7 linked regions of the Xenopus tropicalis genome follow. The main gene of each other region encodes a partner of the protein of the gene in region 3 in a complex. Links are inferred from orthologs where the notes say so. Each region holds a gene or a part of one and is shown on either strand. Other genes may lie near its edges.

What was found.
Region 1: med13l (region 3) and med8 share a complex: the UniProt entries of both Homo sapiens proteins name them as parts of the mediator complex. The link is inferred for Xenopus tropicalis from reciprocal best matches to the Homo sapiens genes MED13L and MED8.
Region 2: med13l (region 3) and med25 share a complex: the UniProt entries of both Homo sapiens proteins name them as parts of the mediator complex. The link is inferred for Xenopus tropicalis from reciprocal best matches to the Homo sapiens genes MED13L and MED25.
Region 4: med13l (region 3) and med21 share a complex: the UniProt entries of both Homo sapiens proteins name them as parts of the mediator complex. The link is inferred for Xenopus tropicalis from reciprocal best matches to the Homo sapiens genes MED13L and MED21.
Region 5: med13l (region 3) and ccnc share a complex: the UniProt entries of both Homo sapiens proteins name them as parts of the mediator complex. The link is inferred for Xenopus tropicalis from reciprocal best matches to the Homo sapiens genes MED13L and CCNC.
Region 6: med13l (region 3) and med18 share a complex: the UniProt entries of both Homo sapiens proteins name them as parts of the mediator complex. The link is inferred for Xenopus tropicalis from reciprocal best matches to the Homo sapiens genes MED13L and MED18.
Region 7: med13l (region 3) and med19 share a complex: the UniProt entries of both Homo sapiens proteins name them as parts of the mediator complex. The link is inferred for Xenopus tropicalis from reciprocal best matches to the Homo sapiens genes MED13L and MED19.

What each region holds. Positions count from the first base shown.
Region 1 is NC_030680.2:88,535,262-88,539,334, reverse strand, and holds the start of med8 (mediator of RNA polymerase II transcription subunit 8), read left to right. Parts: upstream 1-1,273; 5' UTR 1,274-1,332; coding exon 1,333-1,338; intron 1,339-4,073. Other genes in the region: KICSTOR complex protein SZT2, read right to left, coding at 1,097-1,120. UniProt on the Homo sapiens protein: Component of the Mediator complex, a coactivator involved in the regulated transcription of nearly all RNA polymerase II-dependent genes.
Region 2 is NC_030683.2:117,441,895-117,444,693, reverse strand, and holds the end of med25 (mediator of RNA polymerase II transcription subunit 25), read left to right. Parts: intron 1-100; coding exon 101-308; intron 309-1,714; coding exon 1,715-1,824; 3' UTR 1,825-2,299; downstream 2,300-2,799. UniProt on the Homo sapiens protein: Component of the Mediator complex, a coactivator involved in the regulated transcription of nearly all RNA polymerase II-dependent genes.
Region 3 is NC_030677.2:145,412,000-145,415,499, reverse strand, and holds part of med13l (mediator of RNA polymerase II transcription subunit 13-like), read right to left. Parts: intron 3,447-3,500; coding exon 3,258-3,446; intron 2,306-3,257; coding exon 2,082-2,305; intron 1,637-2,081; coding exon 1,494-1,636; intron 1,416-1,493; coding exon 1,257-1,415; intron 75-1,256; coding exon 1-74. UniProt on the Homo sapiens protein: Component of the Mediator complex, a coactivator involved in the regulated transcription of nearly all RNA polymerase II-dependent genes.
Region 4 is NC_030679.2:3,066,179-3,070,178, reverse strand, and holds the start of med21 (mediator of RNA polymerase II transcription subunit 21), read right to left. Parts: upstream 2,801-4,000; 5' UTR 2,775-2,800; coding exon 2,733-2,774; intron 1,181-2,732; coding exon 1,066-1,180; intron 1-1,065. UniProt on the Homo sapiens protein: Component of the Mediator complex, a coactivator involved in the regulated transcription of nearly all RNA polymerase II-dependent genes.
Region 5 is NC_030681.2:82,030,211-82,034,507, forward strand, and holds the start of ccnc (cyclin-C), read left to right. Parts: upstream 1-1,497; 5' UTR 1,498-1,632; coding exon 1,633-1,664; intron 1,665-3,119; coding exon 3,120-3,226; intron 3,227-3,427; coding exon 3,428-3,512; intron 3,513-4,280; coding exon 4,281-4,297. UniProt on the Homo sapiens protein: Component of the Mediator complex, a coactivator involved in regulated gene transcription of nearly all RNA polymerase II-dependent genes.
Region 6 is NC_030678.2:78,270,751-78,274,483, reverse strand, and holds the end of med18 (mediator of RNA polymerase II transcription subunit 18), read right to left. Parts: intron 1,292-3,733; coding exon 738-1,291; 3' UTR 501-737; downstream 1-500. UniProt on the Homo sapiens protein: Component of the Mediator complex, a coactivator involved in the regulated transcription of nearly all RNA polymerase II-dependent genes.
Region 7 is NC_030683.2:55,878,314-55,881,813, reverse strand, and holds part of med19 (mediator of RNA polymerase II transcription subunit 19), read right to left. Parts: intron 3,276-3,500; coding exon 3,142-3,275; intron 1-3,141. UniProt on the Homo sapiens protein: Component of the Mediator complex, a coactivator involved in the regulated transcription of nearly all RNA polymerase II-dependent genes.

The sequences.
Region 1 (4,073 bases), on a different chromosome or scaffold from region 3:
GATCATACACACGTGGATGTCTCCCTTTGGAAATCACGTGGAAATCTCCCTTGTCACGGGCGACTAATCTCCCCGATATGCCATCCCACTGGCTAGAACGTAAATCACCGGTGGGATGGCACACGCGGTGCAGCGATTTGCCAAAATTGTTGAAGTTGCATTGAGAGGAAACTTCGCTGATTTTGGCGCCGCATATGCCATCCCATCAGCGATTTACATTCTAGCCAGTGGGAAGGCATATCGGGGAGATTTGTCATGCAGCGACTAATCTCCCCGTCTGTCACAGCCCTTAAACTGCAGATTTAGGCCCTTCAGACTGATTCGGCAGCTCAGCCATGGGGCCTTCCATTGGGCCTACCCAACTGATATCTCCCAGAAAATCCACCAGACATTGATAGTCAGGTTTGATTCAAGGACTGCGTCAGCTGATTGCCTGTGGCCAATCAACTGGATTAGCCCAATATCACTCACCTTAGCTGGGCATATTGGGGGAAAGATACGCTGGTTTGACAACCTTGGCAAACAAGCAGATTTTATGGCGTATAGCCGGCTTTACTTTGATTTCCACAGCAAAAAAAAATGATCAAATGTTGGTAAAATGCTTCCACATGAGTTGTATATATAAACATGCATGTGTTATCTGCCTTAGTATTTGCATGACACAATACAGATATTTCATTAAGAGCATAGGAAGTTCGGCAAAACATCCATTTGGTTCATAAGAAACTTAAGGGTCGCACATCTCAAGTGGGGACAAATTGCCTGCTCCAAGAGCAAGCAGAAGCCACACAACAGGATGTCCTGAGACAACATATGACTGATTTCTCCAAACTACAATAAAAACTCTGCTTTTCTCGGAACAGCAGCTCTATGCATGTTCCCATAGCTTGGTGCAGTGACTTATAGTGTAACTGCTAGCAAGCCACAGTTTAATAATCCCTAGGATGTTCGGAATCAGCCAAAGGGGGCTTACTCAGGTACAGACGTGTAATGTGTGGCCGTCACTTTAAGGAAGGAGTGGCTACAACAGACCGGCTACAAATAGCGGCGTATACTTTCGCATGTACTTAATATGTACACAATCCCCTCTTTGTACCTCTGTATCTCCTTTTTCTGCCATGTCCCCAGAAGTTTCCCCCCACCCCTGTCTTCGGGTCTGGGGGGCGGATAGGCATTCGAGACTGGAGTACACAAGTCCTACCCCCTCTGACCCGGAATTACTCTTTTTTTTCCAGAGGCGAGCTCTTACCCGGAAGTGCTCCGTCTGAACGTGGAAGAAGTGACCGGAATCTTTATAGCCCTAAGGAGAGGGATTTGGCGGAAAACGTGAAAATGCAGGTAAGATTGACATAAGACGTGTTTCATTAATGTTTATGTTAGTGCAAAGGCGGAGTGGAATTGTTTTCGCTAATTTGTATGTAAATATTTAGTAGCTGTTCTTATCAAATAACGCTACTCCGTCCGTAAAGTAGACCTTTTGTGTCTGCAATGAGTAGTACAACTGACATTTAGGGGCTGATTTACTAACCCACGAATTCGAATCCGAATTGGAAAAATTCCGATTGGAAAACGAACATTTTGCAACTTTTTCGTATTTTTTGCGGTTTTTTTCGGCGCCTTTACGACTTTTCGGAAATTGTCGCGACTTTTTCGTTACCAATACGATTTGCGAGTTTTTCGTAGCCATTACGATGCGCTCGTATCTTGTCGCGACTTTTTCGTATTGAGCGCTCGGAAGCGGCGGCCGAAACTTTCAGACTTAGCATGATTTTGGAAGCCTCCCATAGGACTCAATGGCTCCCTGCAGCTCCAATCTGGCCCATACTGAAGCTTGAATGAATCCGAACGCTACGAAAAAATCGCAACATTTTGCGCAACTTTCGGAATGGCTACAAAAAAAGCGCGACTTTTCGCGTAAGTTTTAACGCTACGAAAAAATCGCCAGATTTTGCGCAACATTCGGAATGGCAATGAAAAAGTTGCGATAATTTTCCGAAAAATCGCCAAATACCGATCATTACGAAAAAAACGCAATCGGACGCATTCGGCCCGTTCATGGGAAAGTAAATGTGCCCCTTAGTATTTTACAGAAAGATATAGTCTGTTATTTGGTGGAGAAGGCAGTGATCCTGAAATTACATTTGAAATCCAGTCACTTATCAAATCATGTCACTTTCACCTAAGAAATAGTTCCAAAATACAATCATTGATCACCCAAGATGCTGCCAAAATTCTTATTCACTCTCTTATAATATCTCGCCTGGACTACTGGAACTCTCTGCTAATTTCACTAAATTCACTCTGTTCTTTTGCAATTCCACTGTAGAACTACAAATCTATGGCAGCTATTTAAAAATGCACTAACAATCCAACTGATGCAACACCTTCTCCTGCTTATAATAATTTAAAAAAAAAACCTTAGATCCTTTCTACACTCCTGTTGCTTTCAATAATTAAGAGTGCAAACTACCATATAATATTCTTTTTGGATGGGTGCTTCACAGCTTAAACATTTGCCAGAGGTTAAAAAAGGCATAAAAACAAAGGTTAAAAAAAGGTTTATTCATACGAAAAAGATATGGTCCCCATGAACTACATGGACTGAAAGCCAACACATTCAACAATTCAACTAGACTTAAAAATGGACAATCCCAGAAAATAAACCCAGACATCAGGCTCAGAACAAAAGGAAAAATAAATTTATAATAATGATTAGGCGAGAGTCCAACCTTATCCTCCTCCCACCCCCTATACTGCTGTTATGAATTGGACCCATTTCTTTGTTACTCTCCCAGTTCTCATGCAATTTCACTGTCAAATTTGCAGCAGACCTATGGTAGATATGGAAATGTGTACATATTCTTTCTCTTAGTCTGCTCATTTCTACTTCTTCTAACAGAAATTTATCACTAACAGCATCAAACTGACATCTAATTTCATTCAGTTTAATTTTCACTTCTCTTTTTCTTCTGACATGCTGACTGCTGTTACCTATACAGGTATGGGACCCATTATCCAGAATGCTTGGGACCTGGGGTTTTCCGGATAGGGGGTCTTTCCGTAATTTGAATCTCCTACCTTAAGTCTACTAAAAAAATTATTTAAACAGTAATTAAACCCAGTAGGATTGTTTTGCCTCCAATACGGATTAATTATATCTTAGTTGGAATCAAGTAAAAGGTACAGTTTGTTTTATTACAGAGAAAAAGGAATTATGTGAATTATTTGATTACAATGTAGTCTATGGGAGATGGGCTTTCCATAATTCTGAACTTTCTGGATAATGGGTTTCTGGATAAGGGTCCGATACCTGTACCAACAATCTATTACATTGTTGCGCTTCAGTACTTTTCGCATTGGGCCATCAACTATTTGAGTCAGTCCACCAAATTTCACTTAAGGTCTGTGTCAGAAGTTGCCATTAATTTGCACCAAATATTGCAAAATTGCACAAATTAATTTTCCTGCTCTGCTGCTTTCCATTACTTATAACAATAACCAATCACATGGACAATCTTTAATACTACTGCTGCCATTAAGCTTACATCCTTCTGCAAAGTTAGTGGTAGACATATGGCAGCTTACATAAGAAGTTCTTAATTATGATTAATATGGACAGTAAAACTGCCATAAACATTTTTTGCAATTGCATCTTCTTTTCTGCTGATTCCCAGCACATGTGCTGCTGTCCATTACTGAGTTTAGATGCTGACTCAATATTCTGTATATAGAGAATATAAATGTCAAGATATAAGGGTAATAGTAATACCCTTATATTACTACATGGCAGCTCTGAAACCAGTGCAGCTAACAACAGAATTTAATAATCAGCCCTGCAGGCAAGTTTGCACAACTTCAAAAAAAACAAAGCAATGCATAGGCCTTTCCACCAGCAATTCACTTTATTGCTGGTGGAAAGGCTTTTTGGGCAGATTAGTTGCAGTAGCAGAGATTTATCGCGGATGACTAATCTCCCCGTGGGCCAATAACCTTAGGATGAAGGCCCACGGGGAGATTAGTTGCCTGAGGTTAAATCTCCTGCAGGAAACTTCATGCAACTTTGGAAAATTAAG
Region 2 (2,799 bases), on a different chromosome or scaffold from region 3:
AAAATGTTGTTCTGGTCCAAGGCGTGAACATTTGAGCAAGTCACTAAGACAGAACCATTGTACAAGAACTAAATATCCATTTCGTTGTTCTGTTTTACAGCCACAGACCAGTGTCCCACAAACACAGCAGCCTTTGCACCATATGCAGCAAGCGGCTCAGGGCATGCTTCCCCATCAGGCCATGGGCCAACAGATGCAGCACCAGGCTCCCGGCCAGCAGCAACTCCAACTCCCGGGGCAAACACTTATGCACCAAGCCCCCGCGCAGCAATGGGGGAACCAGATGCAACAGAGAGCACCAATTCCAGGTGAGGAGGTTTCACACCAGGGGAAACGGCAGTAGCAAGAGTGGCAATAATTGGTCCAGGCAGGTCACTTCACACTGTTGCCCACTCACAGTTTGCATTGCCCTTTAAACAGACACCCTGAGAAATTCATTTACAGCAGGCTAGGGGTTTTATGATCCCCAAGGAGTGGCTCAGGGGCAACATTTTGCTCCCCAACCCCTTGGATGTTGCTCTCAGTGCCCCCTGACTTGGGGGCAAGTTTTGGTTGAATAAAAACAAGCTTTCCTACCAAATAAAGCCCCCTGTAAGCTGATAGGGTGCATAGAGGCTGCCTAATAGCCAATCACAGCCCTTATTTGACTCCTCCATGAACTTTTATGGTGCTTGTGTTGCTTTTCACGTCTGTTTACATTTGACTGTGGCTCACAACAACAGTTGAGGACCACTGGCCTATACTAATACTTGTATCTTATTTTGATCCTTATATCATCTCATCGTTGGGAGGTATACATATAGGATTCTATTTTCTTCATCTCCTTGTTTCATTTTGTACAACACAAAGTAAATCCTGCAGGTCTGACCACTTTAAAAGCTTCCTGTATATATTACCCATCATTCTTTGTGAACCCACCATTGACCATACTGTACAGGTGTTCTAGATTATATAAGTGACCGAGAAACACCCTAACCTGAGGTCTTTATCATTAATTAGTGCTTTTTAAATGATAAATAAACCTTTATAAAATAAGTAAATGTAAAATTATTCTAAGCACTTTTGCAATTTACATTAATTTTTTTATTCCAAGATATTAAGGGAAATGTGTACTGTTAATACAAATGAATTTTGCAACAAAGGCACCACCTGTTGGTCAGTTTCCGACCATGATGTCACCAAGGAAGTTGTCAGGCGAAAGAAAGAGGGCTGCTCTGATGTTCTTCTGCTTAGGAAAGGTCATCTGAGGTTTCTAATGATTTTCCTAAGCAGAAGAACATCAAACCAACCCCTCTTTCTTTCTCCTGACAACTTTCTTGACTGGATCATGGACAGAAACTGACCAGTAGGTGGTGCTGTGTAACAAAATTCATTTATATTGACATTAATGTTTGGTTTCAAAAAGGTAAATGATACCTGCTGGATGGCTGTTGTGGGTAACTATCAGACTTTGGGGCATATTTATTATAGTGTATTGGCTTATACACTATAAAAATAATCCCCTTAGTGTAGACTTGCAAGACATTTATTTCATTGTGCTGCATATTTCACAGGGAATTTCCTTCATAAACCTTCAGGAATTGGCCTGAATGGTCATTGTGTGCATTCCGTTGCTATGGTATTACTATAAAACAATCCCTATCATACTAAGGTATAAAGGTTCAGAAGCCTGAAGCAGTCTGTTTGACACTTGTGCTTTGTTTTTCTGCTTTAGGGACACTGATGATGAGCGCGGGACCTCGAGGCCCTGTCCCTCAGCAAGGCCTACAGCAAGTGCAGGCTCAGAGTGTCATGGAAGACGACATCCTAATGGACCTTATTTGAGGATAAGCTAAGGAAATGAGACTCTACTGCCTCCAAAATGATATGAATCCTGCAGGATTTTTCTGAATTCATCAGCTATGAATCACCTCTTGTCATTTCCTCGCCTTCTTGATTTATTAACCGACAGTAGCCTAAATAGGAATTCATAGGGCGTGTTCAGACTCATCTGGTCAGAGTCGCTAAACTGTTGAAAGCTGCTTGGCCTCCTGGTTCCTGTGTCGGCAGTTTGGTCCCCATACAGGTGGGTATAGAACTCTATCCTCACTGGTGCTTATATTTACCGGTGGGATTGGTCCCTGTTTCCAGGAAGTCACGGACAACTAACTGAACTGCTTCAGTTTTGACCATTGTTGACTCACACGTCCTTTTTACAACACGTAGCAGACTTTTCTTTTGTTATATTGTAAAATGAGCTTTTACAGGTATAAAATAAGATATGCCATGAAAAAAAAAAATAAAAAAACGTTTTAGAAAATCCATTGTGGTCATTTTAGCCCATAGTGAAGTATCGCTCCAGTAAGTCGTCTCACAGTGTATGGGAGGGTACTGCCTGGGGTTATGGATTACAATCAATACAAGAAATGAAAGGGATATACAATATTGCTAGTTACCTAGCTGTCTGAAACATATGTATGTAACACAGGGCAATATTTTATCTGCATGTGTGGTCGACTGGTATTCTACTGCTGTCATAGTTAATGTGCCAAGAAGCCACCACTCTGTTGTGCATTTATTGATACCGAAGAGCCAGAAATCTTATCCTAAAGCAGTTTTCTGCCTTCCCTGGATTCTGCACGTCTTTTAAAAGGAAGCTTCAGTGCCATAAAGCGTGAGTTAATCGCTGTGATTGGACAAGTATATTTACCTCTTTAATGAAGATCGAACTGGAGGGTTCCAACCTGGTACAGACCAACTGTTTCACAGACTTGTTTGTATGATGTCTCTATTGCCTAGCCTTATGGTATCTCTGTGTAC
Region 3 (3,500 bases):
TGGAGTGCTCAGCTGAGATGTCTGTAGATTCAAAGCTGTGCTGCGGCCAAACACTGAACCCATAGTGACAGCATCTGTGAGAAAAGCATGCACGCTTCAGAGAACAAATCATATGTGATACAATGTAGTTACACTGGCGAGTGGTTTTTAAAGGTCCAGTAACACCAGAAAATGAAAACACCTAAAATGCATTTACACAGGAATTCTGTACCATTATTATTTTTTTTATTATCAAAATACCTATGATTTGTGACAGGATTTTGGGGGTCATAAATACAAAAAACAATGTTGTTGTAGTCTTTCTGTTCACTGAGACAGACACTAACACATTTAGAGCATACATCTTCAGCCCTGAAATTGAACCTTATTGTAATCCAGAGATGAGAGATGCCAGGCAAATGTAGCAACTTGCACTCTATTCCTGACATCACACATGGGGTACAGTCACTGCAATCAGTGATATTAGTCTGAAAAACAGAAGCCAAGATGCTTCCTAATCTACTGAAGGTACTCATTAAGGTTAAATAGCTTGGACTTTCACTTCCCGGTGAGACAGGAACAGCATTGCCATGCCTGAACACACTCTAAGACAAACAAAGTCATATTATTACATTCATGAATACTTTAGTAGAACTGCATCATTCTGCATCATTCTGCATCATAGGCACCTGCAAGAATTTCCCTCTGGCTCAACAAGATAGGCAGGACATTTTGACATTTTTGTTTTGAAATGAAATGTCAAATCTCAGTGTAATAACTGTTTAATGCTGGGTGCCATACTGTGTTGAGTCACATAAAAACTAATAATGACATTACCAACAGACTGAAATACACAAAGAAAGACAGTGGTCAGCAAGTTCATAATGAACATGTTTATGGGTCAATTATAATTAAACTAGGATGGCATGCAATGCAGCTTGGACAGACAGAGGGCCATGCAAATCCCTTGGACAGCCACTCCTACCCAAAAAACATCAAAGCCTACAATGCACTGCTCAGGATGTGTAAAAATATTAGCAAGTCTGTTACCCATTCTAAAATTGCTGTTTCCTGCAAGAAGGAACTTAACTCAATGTCCCCTAAAAGGACACATGTCAGTGCTGATGTGTTGTTATAGCAAATAATCATAGGTAATATCATGGTATTCACAGTAAATCACAGTAAAGATCAATCTCTGAATAGCAATGCAAAACTACCATTTTCCCTTCATCCAAAGGGCAGATGTTTTAGGTGAATACAGAAAAGATAAGTCTCACCAGGCATGACAGTGAAAGATCCCTGGGGTTCCATTGCTACGAGACAGGCACTAAGTATAGACGGAGAATCAGCTGCTGAGATTCCACACATTTTGCATGTTTCTTTTAACTGACGACTGATGGTCTGTAGAGAGCACTCTCCAAGCAGAATACTCCAATCTGCAAAGGGAACAGAATAGTCTTAGGCAATCAGTCACTGGTTGCTGATATAACAGCTCACTAATTTTACCTATATACCTTTCAGCTCGCCATGGCCTAGTCGTCCAAGACGGCCAATCACCACTCTCCAGGGTAATGATGTTGTCTGTATAATTTCCACACACCATTCCCATAGTTTCTGCAGCCCTATCTTTCTTGCTGAAACTTTGCTCCTCCGAAACCTGAGAAGTGATTACAATTATTTTACTGATCAAAATATTCACATAGACTTACTGCAAGACTAGCTTGACAAGAACTATATAATACAGTCTCTAGTCTTTTTCACATTAGCACTTCACTTTTCAGTTATCAACACACCAAAAAAATATAAAGTGTGATAATAGAGTTTCTAAAAAAAAAAAAAAAAAAAAACTCTAACAGAAGACAATTCTTTATGTCCATTCTACCATTATGCATTCTGATGGTTCTTCTAGACAATTATCAATGTAATATTACTTTTAGCTACATTTTCTACCTGCTCCTTCTATCCACAGAAACAGCATATATAATTCTCAGGGACACTAGGAGAAGCAATTACAGTAAGTCAATACTGTAGCATATCAGCAGAAGTATATGGTTGTTCTTGCTGTTTGTGTGAACTAAGACATACAGAATATTTTTACCAACCTGTTGGGCACATGGATATTAACAACACAAGTTTCCAGAAGCTCTCCTTGCAGGTCGGTGCAGGACGCCAGAAGCCAGCGCTGATCATGAGATAAGCAGTAACCTACAAACAGCACATTGTATTTCTGTCCAGCTTCACCAAATGTCTCACCCAACTCTGTCTGCTTGTCCTTGGTGGGGGAGAGCAAAAATGGAGGAGAATACATCTGTCCAGGGCTAGGTTGCTGTCAGGCATGAAAATCAGAAGTTAGGAACGTGCAATATTTACTTCTCTTTTGACTTCAAGATCACATGCAAATGTTTATTTTAACATCACTCAGAGTCTAGAACCTTACATTAATTTCCTTTTACAGCAGTGGTACAGCAGTAGCTCACTTTTGCATATACAGTGGTGTGCTAAATTTACCAAAGGATTGCATTGGGCTATTTGAAAATCTGATTGTTTTGGCCAACTAAAAAATCATACCAAACCAGCAAGTAAGTGGCCTTTGTATAGTAGTATGACTGCATTCTAACCCTGTCCACCATTAACCTATAATTCAACCGCTAATTCCAACAATTTTTCTATGCCTCTCCATTTTTTCCATTGGCATTTCATCACTTTTACAGGTATGGGATCTCTTATTGAAAAACTTTGCCATCCCCCATGCAGTTAATTTTTTAGTTATTTCCATCTGCACTGTAATAAAACAGTACCTTGTAACTAAGCTAAATAAATTCATACTGCTGCAAAACAATCCTATTGGATTTATTTAATGTCAATGTTAAGATTTCTTTTTAGTTAACTTAAGGTATGGTGATCCAAAATGGAAGAAAAAAAAAATCTAGAAAACCCCAGGTTCCAAGTAATCTATATAACAGAGCCCCTAACAGTACTAAACTTATATAACAATTTGTATATCATTCTTTATATTTCTATGAAATGTCTGAGTCTTTCACCCACATACTGTTTACAAACTGTAGGCAGAACTGCAATTCACTGAGTGGGCTGATTTACAAACACAGGCGCAAAAAAAACAGCAACCAATCATTTATTTTTATTTTCCAACTTCTAGTAGAAACCAAACAAAAACTGGTTTTAGTGGGTTACTGCACATATTTGTGTTTGTTTTTGCAGATATTTGTGGTTTAAAAATAATCACTGTACATGCATCAAGCAGTTTCTAAAATAATCACCTCTTGATTCCTGAGTATTGCATTTAGAGCGGCTGCTGGACCAAAGCCAGTGAGAGGCTTGATGGGTATTTGTGTGGCTATGGGTCGCCGGCACTGGCAGTATACAGAAAAAGCTAAAGACTTCAAGTGCTGAATGTAGGAGACCACTTCATCATTTACAGTCTGCAGAAGAGAATGGCAGGGAACCACCTGAAAAAGAGAGTAGGGTAAGATATTGTTGATGACCACAAATTTTTAATTAAA
Region 4 (4,000 bases), on a different chromosome or scaffold from region 3:
TGAACTTCCCCTACAGAGGCCCATAGCAACAGACTGGGAAACGAGTATGAAGGCACTAAAGCAGAACAATCGATATAATGTTTTGATATAAATATAGGGGGGAGTGTATTTCCTGGTACCCATGTGACTGTCTCTGCTTCCTGTGCACGGGGGAGTGTATTTCCCGGTACCCATGTGACTGTCTCTGCTTCCTGTGCACGGGGGAGTGTATTTCCTGGTACCCATGTGACTGTCTCTGCTTCCTGTGCACGGGGGAGTGTATTTCCTGGTACCCATGTGACTGTCTCTGCTTCCTGTGCACGGGGGAGTGTATTTCCTGGTACCCGTGTGACTGTCTCTGCTTCCTGTGCACGGGGGAATGTGTTTCCCGGTACCCATGTGACTGTCTCTGCTTCCTGTGCACGGGGGAGTGTATTTCCTGGTACCCATGTGACTGTCTCTGCTTCCTGTGCACGGGGGAATGTGTTTCCCGGTACCCATGTGACTGTCTCTGCTTCCTGTGCACGGGGGAGTGTATTTCCTGGTACCCGTGTGACTGTCTCTGCTTCCTGTGCACGGGGGAGTGTATTTCCTGGTACCCATGTGACTGTCTCTGCTTCCTGTGCACGGGGGAGTGTATTTCCTGGTACCCGTGTGACTGTCTCTGCTTCCTGTGCACGGGGGAATGTGTTTCCCGGTACCCATGTGACTGTCTCTGCTTCCTGTGCACGGGGGAGTGTATTTCCCGGTACCCATGTGACTGTCTCTGCTTCCTTTGCACGGGGGAGTGTATTTCCCGGTACCTGTGTGACTGTCTCTGCTTCCTTTGCACGGGGGAGTGTATTTCCTGGTACCCGTGTGACTGTCTCTGCTTCCTGTGCACGGGGGAGTGTATTTCCCGGTACTCCTACCCCGTGTCTATAAACGCATTGGCTGATACACACAGAGCAGTGACAGACAGTTTCACACCCTTTGTGTGCTGGTCTGGTAGTCAGTGCTGGGGGTGTGTCAGTGCGCAGTGGGCGTGGTTACAATGGCATTTGGGTGGGTAACGGGGCAGTTTGGGGGCCACTCGCAGTCTCTCACCTTCAGTGGGGTTGGGCGGTTGGTCCTTGTTGATGCCCGTCTGGATGTTGCTGAAGGAGGCGGGGGGAGCGCACTGCTGGAGGACCCCGATGGCATTGCAGAACTGATCGGCCAGCTGGAGAGACAAAGGGGAGGGGTTACAACTCCATTCATCCAATGCCCCCCTGGCACTGAGGGAGTTAATAGGCTGGTATTAAACTGACCTGCTACATTGTGTCAGGAGTCAGAACCTGGGGGTGGAGCTGGGCACTGCTGCCAATAGCAAGTACTTATCTGTACCGGGATATATATATAGGGATTTACGGGGCTATATATGGGATATATGGGGCTATATATAGGGATATACGGGGCTATATATAGGGATATACGGGGCTATATATAGGGATATACGGGGCTATATATAGGGATATACGGGGATATATATGGGATATACGGGGATATATATGGGATATACGGGGATATATATAGGGATATACGGGGATATATATGGGATATACGGGGATATATGGGATATACGGGGATATATGGGATATACGGGGATATATATGGGATATACGGGGATATATGGGATATACGGGGATATATATGGGATATACGGGGATATATATGGGATATACGGGGATATATATGGGATATACGGGGATATATATATGGGATATACGGGGATATATATATGGGATATACGGGGATATATATGGGATATACGGGGATATATATGGGATATACGGGGATATATGGGATATACGGGGATATATGGGATATACGGGGATATATATGGGATATACGGGGATATATATGGGATATACGGGGATATATGGGATATACGGGGATATATGGGATATACGGGGATATATATGGGATATACGGGGATATATATAGGGATATACGGGGATATATATGGGATATACGGGGATATATGGGATATACGGGGATATATGGGATATACGGGGATATATGGGATATACGGGGATATATGGGATATACGGGGATATATATAGGGATATACGGGGATATATATAGGGATATACAGGGGGATATATAGGATATACAGGGGGATGTGGGATATACGGGGATATATATGGGATATACAGGGGGATGTGGGATATACGGGGCTATATATGGGATATACGGGGATATATAGGATGTACGGGGATATATATGGGATATACAGGGGGATATATGGGATATACGGGGATATATATGGGATATACAGGGGGATATATAGGATGTACGGGGATATATATGGGATATACAGGGGGATATATAGGATGTACGGGGATATATATGGGATATACAGGGATATATATGGGATATACAGGGGGATATATATAGGGATATACGGGGATATATATGGGATATACAGGGGGATATATGGGATATACGGGGATATATATGGGATATACAGGGATATATATGGGATATACGGGGATATATATGGGATGGGGCGGCGATATAATCCGCATCAGCTGAGGGAACCCTCATAGACATGGGGTTCTGGGTAATAAGATCCATTGGACACAGTGTGGGGGCTGCGAGCAATGAATGGAATAAACCATTAGTTACAATGTGACTATAAAGCCGAGATGGGACCCAACTGCGGGCAGCGAGAGGATGTATTTCCCTTCCCCACAAACCCCACAAACCCCACACACAGATAAAGCGCTCACCGAATTCAGCGCGTCCTGGAGCTGCGTCAGCCGGTCCGCCATCTTTCCAGCTGGCAAAGCCGAACCAGCCGCCCATACCTTCAGCGCCGCTTCCTATTGGCTAACTGGTACAATAAAGGTTTCTATTGGCTAAGGGTCACTGCGGCGTTTTCTCAATAGGAGGAACGAGAAACGCCTATTTCTATTGGCCAGCCTCAGTAGAGGCGGGGTTGTAACGGCGGAAAGGAGACTGCGCATGTGTACTTCTACCTACACTGGACGTTCCCTGCCAACTTGCTAAATAGCGTTCAGTGTGATACCTCTTTTGGTCGCTAGAGGGCGATGCTGCCTATTGGACAATTGTATTCAGGTTTTATATTCCATTTATGATGGAAGGGGGGGGGGGGGCCATAATCCTCCATGGGCTACACTTTTGCTGTGGAGTTGCTGCTACAGAGTCGCCAGTCTGTCTATGTTGTTTCAGGATAAATAGAATCAAGAAGAATTTAAAGAGACAGTGTTATTGGTGCCTGTGGGATTGCTGGGATTGCTCTCTAACCCTGATCCTGTTACTGGGGGGTCTCAGAGAGCGAGTAAATAAAGATAATTCCATAGAGATACAGTGGCCCTGGGGCCCCTGGTTAGCACATAAGGGCCCTAAGAAATTGGGACCCAAATTGAATATGACTTTCCCTTATTATCTGTATTGAAAAGCCTGTGTGGGCAGTGCCTGCTTAGACTTTCTTTTTTGTTATTGTGTGCCCAGAACATTCCTTCTCTGTATATTTGTATTTATACATATGGGTAGGAGGTGCCATAGTGTTTCCCTTAGACAGTACAGTATGGGGGTACAGCTTATTGTGTGCCCAGAACATTCCTTCTCTGTATATTTGTATTTATACATATGGGTAGGAGGTGCCATAGTGTTTCCCTTAGACAGTACAGTATGGGGGTACAGCTTATTGTGTGCCCAGAACATTCCTTCTCTGTATATTTGTATTTATACATATGGGTAGGGGGTGCCATAGTGTTTCCCTTAGACAGTACAGTATGGGGGTACAGCTTATTGTGTGCCCAGAACATTCCTTCTCTGTATATTTGTATTTATACATATGGGTAGGGGGTGCCATAGTGTTTCCCTTAGACAGTACAGTATGGGGGTACAGCTTATTGTGTGCCCAGAACATTCCCTCTCTGTATATTTGTATTTATACATATGGGTAGGGGGTGCCATAGTGTTTCCCTTAGACAGTACAGTATGGGGGTACAGCTTATTGTGTGCCCAGAAC
Region 5 (4,297 bases), on a different chromosome or scaffold from region 3:
ATAGAGAAGCATACAATTCCTCTTAGAGCATAGATTTTATGGGTCTTGGGGCATAAATACTATGTATTAGGTCTCTGCAGGATTGCAAATGTGCCATAGGTATGTTCAAAAGTATGTTCCAGCTGAGGACAAGGGCCAGAGGGAAAAGAGGCAGATGGAGAGGAGGTTCCTTCTATATACTGGTCCCAGTCCCTCAGCATTCATTGAGGTTAACCAAGCAATTCTGTTTTCACTTGTTTAACCCATACACAAATGTCATGTTGGGATCCAGGTAAAAGGCAGGTTTATTACAAAAAACGAATAACTGTGTAAAATGATATACAAGTTATATTTTTATGTGGGTATTTGTCTTATGAAAACACAAGTAAAGCAATGCATTCAACTGAATGCAAAACAGTTTGAATAAAATGTTCAGTTTACTTGTGTTTATTGAAGTAATCCCAGTGAAAAATCAGATAACTATATATCTGCTGTCTAATCTCGTTATACATATTCTGCTTCTGCTATATTTCTGCATGTCCCATGCTACGTACAAATCCTTTTCTCTTTTTTTCCCATTTATTCTTTTACAATTTTCTAAGGGACCAGTCTGCTCTACAATTGGTAGTCCAATTGGTAGTCCGGAAAAACGCTTGCTGAAAATACCGCATAAAAACGCAAGACTTTGCATTCTCTCAAGTTTTTATGTGTATTTCGGCTACATGTGCCTGAACCCAAGCATATTCCATTCATTCGGGTGCAGGCACAAGTAGGAGGCGTAGGGCGGTATTTTCAGGATGCATTTTTCTGCTTGCCGAAAATATACGCCCTATGCCTTGTCTGGCATTAGCCTAAGGCTGATGTCAGACGTGGCATATTCTCGGCAAGTCGAAAAACGCTTGCCGAGAATACGCCCTCTGCCTACTACCAGCTACGCTCTGGTGCAGGCACAGGTAGGAGGTGGAGGGCGTATTCTAGGCAAGCGTTTTCCGGCTTGCTGAGAATACACCACATCTGACATCAGCCTAATAATGCAAAAGGTGGCAACACATAGGCCAACCTGCCATTTATCCGATTATGGCCTACACCTGGCCAAATAACCCTGTTGCATTCCTTTGGGCCCACTAACTGATGGGAATTTCTGCTATTAGTATTTTTATGTTGGACAGATGGAGTGCAAATTTTTTGCAGAATAATCAACCTGTGTGTCATAGTCATGCATTATTTTCCAAATTGGCTAATTCTTTCCACTTTAATATAAGTCAATATAAAAAGAAGAAAAGACATGGTGAACACAGTCTTTATAAAAGTTGAGAAATGTTTTTTTACAGAAAACATAAGCAGTGAGAATTTGTGCGTTCCTTGTGAAGACACAAAAATGTAAAACTATAACCAAAAAACAGATTTGAAATCATTGAAATGTATACGTATGTTTGTTAACGCATACTTCTTTTATTCACAACTAGAGGCAGACTGAGTTCCGTGCTGGTGTGTGTTTCCACCCGGGACATATCAGCGTTGCACACTGGGTCTTCTTCCTGGAATCTCTACATTTCGGCTTTATAGACGCTAGCTGTGGGTTGTTGTGACGTTCTTGGCAGCGTCACAAGCAGCGGTCCGCTCATCCTTAGGCGGTGTTCGTTTGGCTCATTGATGGCGGGGAACTTTTGGCAGAGCTCTCACTAGTAAGCGTTGTTTTATTTGTTTTGTCTATAGGTAGTAGGCTGAGCTGTCGCCATCTTTAAAATTCCCTAGCACTTCACTATGAGCGGAAAAGATTCTAACCTGCTGCCTTGCCGTTCTCAGTATACCAGTGTTTTGAGACTTGCAAATTGTGAATTTCTTTGCCTGTAGTGAAGTACAGGCCTTTTTGTATTTGCTGTAGCCCTATAATAACCCTTTTAATAAAGTGCAAGTTGTTGTGTTAGCAATATACAGTCTGAAATGCAGAATAACTCATTGCAAATGAGGTCCAGGTCCAGCATTTGATCAGTTCCATGGCTTTGCTTATAAGCACAAAACAAAGCCCTCCATCTGTTGCACTGTTGCACATCCACTGATAACTATCAGGAGAATGCTGGGAGCTGAAGTTCCACTAAATGCCTGGGGACCTCAGGTAGGTCATTTTTGCCATTAAGACATCAAAATGGTTATTACAAGGTCACTGAAATATTAAAGGAGACATTCGTATTTTACATCAGTAAGTACATTTAAAGGGGTTGGTCACCTTTGAGTTAGCTTTTAATATGATTTAGAGAGTGATATTTGGAGACAGTTTGCAATTGGTCTTCATTTATTGTAGCTTTTTTTAGTTATTTCATTTTCATTTCAGGAGCTCTCCAGTATGGAGTTTCAGCAGCTATTTGGTTGCTAGTTACCTTAGTAACCAGGGAGCTGTTTGGATGAGAGACTGTTAAATGAATAGGAGAGGGCACAAATTGAAAAAAAAAAAAGCTACAAAAACTAACAACTATAAAACTGCCTCACAGAGCATTAGTTTTTGTGTTGCTGGGGTCTGCAAAGAGTTGGAAGAAGAAAGAGTTAGTTAGAATTGGTCATTCCGTAACATACTAAAAGTTAACTTAAAGGTGAACCACCCCTTTAAGAAGGGGTTGGATGACTTTTTACGATCCGAGCCCAGCCCTTAAGGTGGCGATTTGCGATCTTTCATGCAACCATCGGTCGCACACCGTTCAGGGCTGAAACGGCAGATAAGGAGGTAGAAACAATAGGATTTCTACCTCCTTCTGCCGATTCAGCGCTGAAGGCAGATTTTGGTCAGGCGCCTTCTATCGCGCCCGATCAAAATCTTTTAACTTGCCCGGTCGGCGAGTCGACCGATATCGGCAACCTCCTGCGATATCGGTCGACTCGCCGATTTGCCATACACACACCGAATATCGTACGAAACGAGGTTTCGTACGATATTATCGGTGCGTGTATGGCCAGCTTTAGACTTGGCCAATACATGAAACTACGGTTGGCTGAAACATGGAGATTGTGCGCAAAATTGCACTTGGCCCACTTCATCTAGGTAAGTGAATGTGCTCTATGGACTAATAAGAATTTGACAAAATAGCAGTGCAAAAGAATTGAAATGATATATTTTTCTAATTTTTTTTTTTTTTAATTTATTTTAGTTTGCAATGGATTTTGGACAAACAAGACTTATTAAAAGAACGACAAAAAGACCTAAAATTTTTAAGTGAAGAAGAATATTGGAAATTGCAGATATTTTTTACAAATGGTAATCGCATGTTTCTTTTAGAAACCTGGTATTTTATTATAGGTGCAATATTTTTATTGTGCTATGTTACTTCTGAATATAGATTGTTATTGGGATGCAACCCACTCAATAGCCCCCACACTGTTTGTTTCTCTTGCTACATTCGCATGAAACACATACTCATTTACATTAAACATTCATCTTATTTTCTTTCCTTTGCAGTTATCCAAGCTTTAGGAGAACACCTTAAATTACGACAACAAGTCATTGCCACTGCCACTGTTTATTTTAAAAGATTTTATGCCAGGTGAGTTTGCTGAGAGGGAAAGGACTTGTATGTGTTTTTGGTTTTATGGTAATGCCCTATCCAGTGCCAGCAGCACTAAGCAAAATTAGTGGTGTATGAGTGTTAAAATGTCACAATCCAGCTGTGGCTTACCACTACACCGTAGTGTCTTTCTGTGATAGTTAAGCCCAGACTTTCCTCAGGCAGTGCATATTATTTGAGTGTAATCATAGACTGGAAAAGTACAGGCTAATGACTGAACATTTAGTAAACATATACTTCGTCTAGGTAGGTGAATGTGCCCTATTAAAGGTGGCGACACACGTGGCGATCTGACGATGTTTAGTGCGACCATCGGACCACACCGTTGGGGCTGAAACAGCAGATAAGGAGGTAGAAACAATAGGATTTCTACCTCCTTCTGCTGATTCAGCCCTGACGGCAGATTTTGGTCAGGCGCCTTCTATGGCGCCCGATCAAAATCTTTTAACTGGTCCGATCGGCGAGTCGACAGATATCAGCAGCTTCCTGCGATATCTGTCGACTCACCGACATGCCATACACGCACTGAATATCGTACGAAACGAGGTTAAGACTAAGATTTTGACAAAATTTTTCTTATATTTTAGATCACGTTGTTGCTATAAAGCTGTGCTGTATCTTGTATGTATTGTTTTACATTTAATGTTTACAGATCCAACTTTTCAATTTAAATGGAATTGTTACTCTATGGTATGGCCTTTATGCACTTATGTTTTGTTGATATAATTTTTTTGTTTTTCATATTAGGTATTCTTTAAAAAGTA
Region 6 (3,733 bases), on a different chromosome or scaffold from region 3:
GCACCCCCAAGTGACTTTGCCTTTCCTTCTCCTTTAAGTAATAATAAATTGGTAACATCATAAACCGTAACAGGCAACTCAAGCTTAGCAGCTGTGTGTATGATTGCAAGAGAATCTACATTATTGTCAATGGGAAAGCTATTTCAGAAGATTAGTCACCACAGGGTAGAGCAGATTTATCGCAGGCAACTAATCCCAACATGTGCCATAGACCTAAAAATTATTATGTAGATATCCGCTTTCAAGTACAATGTGACAGACTTAATTTTTTATTTTTTTTGCAACTCTCATGCTTTGAAATTCAATTGCTATCTGGTTACTAGAGCTTAACTACCCTAGCAACCAGGCAGCAGTTTGACTATCAGAATGGGAGATCAATAGGGGAGTGCCTGAAAAAATGATAAGTAAAAAAAGCTAAAAATTACATGGATCTTTCAAAGTAAATATGTGTAAAAATGTTTTAAATTTGCAGGTCAGGAGGACAATACTGAACACAACAGGAAAAATAAAACAAATTTAATAATAAAACAGATCATTCTATTTCTGGTCTGCACAATACAGTGGCAGATGCTGTTCTGTGTCACAATGAAACCAGCAGAACTTGACATTGGTCCCTTTACAGTCAAGAGGAATTTCATGCCATCTCAGCTCATGAGAAAAACCAATGAATTATGGCAGTGTAAACGGTTTTCACCAGAAACACACAATCTTGAGTCTTGTTTTTTGGAATGTCCCCTTTACATCAGACGTTTAGGGTCTATTTTCTCCAGCTGCACGAGTGGTCTGAGCTGTTCTGCAAACCCCCTGACTTCATCAGCTATATTGTCTTGACCAGCTGGCGCCACTGCACTAAGCTCTACAAGGTATGAAAGTGACAAGGGTTCAGCACCCTCTGCTGCTCCTGCTACCAACACCCGAAACACCTTGTACACTGCCACCTTCATAACCCCTTTCCTGAACAAGTGGCCGCGTGCCACAAACTCATGGTCCATACGAAAGCCCATCTCCTGCAGAAATTCAGGAAGAACATCTGAGGTGGCAATGTCAACACAATTACGCACTAGCGTGTGGCGGCTTCTGTCTCCAGCCTCAGGCTGACCCAGATACCTAAGGTGCCATGGAGCACCTGGCCGATCCAAAGGGCGACGTGCTCGTAGCACAAAGGGGCTGGCCTGCTGACCCTTGAGAAGGTAGACACTCTCATGATCTGCAAATGTCTCAGGTTCCATATTGTCACATAAACCACGTAAACGATGGAGGAGGCTCTCTAGACCCTGGTCAAGAATACTACCTGAAAAAAAAAAAATTAAAGGCTTTAATATGTGATAACAGTTACTGCTAAAGTTAATTAGGCTTCCAAAAAGTGATTAAGCAAGAAAAACTGTTTTGTTAATGGCAAAACCATGGAAAGTTTTGGCTATATGGTTTAGGATTCAATGCTACTGGAGCAGTGGAAACTAATTCTCAATTTGCAGTTTACCTCTGGTAATCTGGCAATCTGACCAACAGGTCTTTGTTTGGTGAATACCAATTAAATGCTTTCTGCAATAATTCATAATACCTACTATAAAAGTTTGGTGGAGGAACAATGGTCTGGGGCTGTTTTTTAGGACTAGGGCCCCTAGTTCCAGTAAAATGTATGTAAATACATACATACATACATAAAAGCAAACCAAGGTATGATGACATTCTTGACTGTGCTGCCTACCCTGTGGCAGTTTAAATGGGAAATAAATGGACAGAAACAACTTTGCGACATTGCATTTAGCACATTATAAAATTGAACAAAAGAAAAACGTATCTTTTTTAATTGCCAGAAAACATGCCACCACTTCTTATCCTTTGTACTTCAACTGTCAGCTTCAGTCTAAAGTCCAAGGGTGCCAATGGCACAGCCCAAATAGCATCTTAACACTTGAAATTCCAGCAGAACCCTGTAACCAGACAGCATTGCTGGTTTGTACCACCATGTAATTGCCTGCTATCCTTCTGAGCTTTGCAGTCATAATACAAACAAGTGCTCTTGCTTCTGTGACAGGGGTCGCTGCTGGAATTTAAAGTGCAAATTCTTTTTAGGAGTCAAATTCTAGCCATTCTAGTAGCTGGGTGGCAATGTAGCAGAGAGGTTAACTTATTAAAATGAGTTACAGCTATTTGAATAAAGCAGAGAAAACCAACCTTTGATACTATACTAACACCCTTGGTTTCAGAATGAGAGGTTAGGTGTCAGGAGAGTTTTGGTAAAAAATGTACCTATAGAAATAATGTTGTACAGAAAGGTGCAAAAAAGGATAAATAGATTTGAAGGAGCAAGGTGGGAAAAGAACCTTAAGGCTACACATCCTGCAGGCAACTTTGTGCGACTTTGGAAAGCTGAAGTGATGCATAGACTTTTCCACCTGGCGACTCCTATTGCTGCCGGTGGAAAGGCAACCAATCAGCAGGTAGAATATACTGGTTACCCGATTAAAAGCAAACATCTTATTGCTTTCTATGGGTTACTGCTCCTGAGCTACCGAGTGCCTCTTCTTACATATGGGGGTTGGTGAGTTAAAACAAATTTACCTATTTAATACACTAGGAGCCCCAACATATTGGCACCTCCAGTGAATTAACCTTTCCTTGCCTATTTAAATACATTAACTAGATTGCCCCTTTAACTTGTGATACAAAAAAAACGGGTGCTGCATGAGTGGCTATAAAAGTTGATCTTTCACAGTTTAACATTTTTTGAACTTCTAAATTATTTACAAAATCAGATGCATCAATCAATAAGCTTTCTGCAGATATCAAAATTGTGTTCTTCCACCTACAAGATTCTAGAAATCATTTGTAAGGTAATATGTATGTGCATTTACTTATTTGTTTGATTTATTATGTACCTTTCTGTTGTAAAGCTATTTTTACCCTGGGGCACAGGCACTATAAAAAGAAATACATACACCTGCTCGAGAAAACTGGTTTCTCTGCAATAAAACTTATTTGTAAGTGGATGAAATCCTTATACAAAACATTTTGCCAACCTATTCTATTTACATAGAGTATGAACTTTAGTATTTTCAGATAACTAGAAATGACTCTAAAGCAGGAATAGAGAGCCTTTTCTGGTGTTGTTGAAATAGCTGGGTGTGTACATCATGGCTTAGTGTGACCATAGACATGTCAATGCAATGCAGTATCTGAACACATACATACTGTCCAGGGCATGTGCAACTTTCTGTTGTTCTGTTTGTTTGGGACAGCAATAACAGGAGCTGCAGCTCTTATTCACTAATTTATCAGTTGATGCACCCAGCACTGGTGGATATGGTGTGTTGTTATATTAAATTAGCAAACCTGCCCAACTAATGTACCAACAAATGTCTAGTGTACACAGATATAGGTCAGAACGTGTAAAAAAAATAAAAAAATATATACTAAATCATACTTAATGTCATGTTTTTTAAATTGTTATAATTATTGCATGTATTAATAAAACAACTACATATTCCACAGCATTGTAAAATAAATGGGTGTATGCATGAAAAATTAAAGAATAGTCTCACAAACAGCCACTAAAATGTGCTGGAGAAAATGTGGACAGGAAGGGACTCGTGCACACCTGGTGGAACTGCCCTAAAATACAAAAGTACTGGCAAGAAGTATTTGAGTTAACAAGTAGTGTTATTAAAGGAACAGTAACCTCAAAATATGAAAGCGTATAAAAGCAATAACAATATAATGTACTGTTACC
Region 7 (3,500 bases), on a different chromosome or scaffold from region 3:
ACAATGTATTGTTTTCCTGGGTAAACTAAAAGTCCCCCCGAGGAAAGGCCCCTAAAGTGAAACAGTGCAAAATGTTCAAAAACTGTCTGGCAGTACAAGTTCCGCTTTGTCCAAAACCCCTGGCAGTGAAAGGGTTAACAGATGTTTGAATACATTTTGATAGTTTAAAAACAACTTCGGTATGTACAGTATTTAGCAGAATTAAGTCTTTTTTTCCTTGAGGTGTAAATAGACTGCCGAGTCTTGTCCTGAGGAGTTGGCCACAAATTTAGCAATGTTCCTCAGGCTAACATCTTAGCTCCCTTAGTTGGAAACATAGTACACCACATTCAGAGCTCCATGGACTTTGTCAAAAAAGTCCAGGAGTTAAATCTGGATATCAATGAAACAATGGTGTCCTCTGATGTTACATCTCTGTTCACATGCATACCCACTACCGAGGCAATTGAAACAGTGAGGAAACGGCTGAAACAAGACACCCCCCCCTCAGCAGCAGAACAAAGCTGAACCCAGAACACGTTTGTTCCTTACTGGACCTAAGTCTGAATACTGGTCTATGCTGTCCAGTGCAGTGCAGTGAAGAGTGCTCTGACATATACACTGGGGAGACAAAACAACCTCTCTGTAAGAGAATGGCCCAACATAGGAGGGCTAACTCCTCAGGACAAGACTCAACAGTCTATTTACACCTCAAGGAAAAAGGACACTCTTGAGGACGGTGATGTGCATATTTTGGACAGAGAGGACAGATGGTTTTAAAGAGGTGTGAAAGAGGACATTTATGCATGCCTGGAAAAACCATCCCTAAACAGAGGGATTACCCCGGCAGTATCACAACAGTTTACACTGAACCCCTCTGTAACTGCTCAGGGGTCCAGGTGAAGTCAGACAATTTATTGGGGGTCACGGGAGTTTGCCCCAATTTTAAACCCTTCACACTGCTCTGCCTTGTCATTGCTTGATACAATGGTTGCATATGTTTTAACGTAAAGTACACAATTCATGTAACGTCACACTACGCATCCAGGGTAGGAGGAGTGAGTTTTATGAATTCTTATGGAAGGGGGGAGGAGGAGAGGGGAGAAATGAGAGAACTGCGCAGACACTGGCACCTAGAATGAAGGATTTTTCTGAGAAGAAATCAGATACCCCAAGAACATGTTTACAAAAAAGGAGACAAGAAATCCGCAGTTTCTTTTGATAGAGTGCAGCTTTTCTGTGAGTGCTTATGGCTTTATTTACATAGACCTTTCTGAAAAAGCTTACTTAGTTTTTACCTTTCCTTCTCCTTTAAAACACAAGTGCTTTAATGAGAGGGAAGTGTGCATCTTGCCCTTATTACATGTGACGAAACTGTGACTGTGGCACATTTTTCCCAAAAACATTGTGGTGTGCCCCCCCTCCCCCACTGGTGTCTCACCTGACAGGTAACCCCAGCAGCGCTGCATAAAAATAGCCATTTCTGTCATCGAGAGGGTATTTGTCAGGTGAAATATTTTTCACATTTTGGCATTGCCCCACTAGGTAGAGGATACTTGGTTCTTGTCTGTACAGTTACCCTGGCAGCTGTTTCTCTGTGTACAGTCAGGGAGATCTAGTGAGCAGGCCTCTTATGTCTTGGAAGAGATATTCCTGCTGAGGAACAGCAGGTACAGGCAAGAGGTCAGAATTTTTTTTTGTCACTTTTGATTATTATTGACTGGCAGGTTTAGAGGGGGCGTAATCTCCCAAAACCTCAAAGTGATACTGACATGAAAAAACTACTTTTGAAAATATTAATGTATATAAAAAGTTGCCTATGGGTCATTTTGACCATTTTTCACCGATAGGGCTCCTTTTGTAAGTAAGTGTTACTTAAAGTTCCTGAACCTGACTGTTCCTTTTCAACCTGTCAGTTATAGCTTCTAATGCTAACGGACTTCTGCTGCACAAATGCCCCCTGATAGAGGAACATGGGGATCAGATAGGTAATGTAAAAGCATCAGGAATTATGTTTTGGCAAAATTATAAAGATGATTCACAGACAATGTAATGATTTATTTAAAAGACAGTTTTATTTTAAGCGTCAATATCTCTTTAAAGGAACAGTAACACAAAAAATAACTTTTAACATGTCCCTTCTAAATACTTTATTAAGATATGTAGCATTTAAAAAAATGCAATATTCTACGTGATTTCAGAATAAATTACATTACCAATGCTTTACTGTGCAGAGCTTGAAAAGGCAATCCGGTAACTGCTAGACTTTCGGTTTAATCTGGAAGTTAATATGCTGCATTCTTCAGAGTCTATTTTGAGTGATTTTTCGCTATTAGCAGATGGGGCATGGAGAGGAAATCAGAGACGTAAAAAAACACAACTGCTATGGAAATTTCTATATGATTTATTTAATAATCAAAGTGTATAGAAAGGATATTTTGAAGGGAAAAAAATTGTGTTACAGTTCCTTTAAAAAAAGAAATCCACCCATGTTGGCAAGGCCACATGAGAATAGACAGTGCTTGTATTGCTATTGTATACTGAAATGATGATTCTGTACAGAGTTGCAAAGTAGCCTGAATTTACCTCATGAGGCAACTTTGGGCTACTTTAGAAAGCGTAAGCAACACGTTTTCCCCCCACTGGTGTTACATATTACTGCTGATGGGAAGTTTTGTCACCCACAGTAGCACAGGCAACAAAATGTACGGTCACTGCCATTTTCCTTAACTGGAAACTACCTTTTCTACTACAATTAATATCTGACTGTTTAGCAAGTAGTCAGATTTTAAGAACTCTGCACAAAAAGTGTCTAAAAGTTAAAGACTATTATCACAATAATTATATAAAATGTTGAAGTAACTATTATCACTATATATTAGATTAAAAAATTTTGCATCATACCAAAGCTTTGTAGGTACTGCCTGGCCAAAGCAAGTATAAAGAAAACTATATACCTGAACAATGTGCATCTCTATAAAAAAATAAATAAATATATGTTGAATAAAAACAGCCTATATGTAAAACCCAGTTTTATCTAAATAAACTATTCATAAAAATATTTATTAATTGGTTTATGTTACCTAACTAATGCTTTATTCCCCCCACCCTTTTTGTCTGTTATTCCCTGAGCACCAAAAAAAAAAAAAACATTATACTCACTGGTCCAGTGTGCAGTCTGAATCCAGTCAACAAGGCACCTGTTAGTGGAGTGAAGGAGTTTCCACAGATCGGTGGCTTTTCAATCAGTGAACGTAGACTGCTGTTATCCTGAGCGCCTGGAGTATCAATCATACCTACAAAAAGTAGACACAGAAATGCCACTTTCGTTAATTAGTTTTATTACATACTCTGCTTTCTAGTCCAAACTATAACATTGCTATTTTATTTGTTAATTTTTATTTTACTTACAAATTATTATTTCAGTCAAGGATGAGGATATAAAAGAACAAGGCCACAGGCCTTAGTTTGGTCAATTTGCTATGGGACCAAAATGTAAATATAAATATATATATATATAT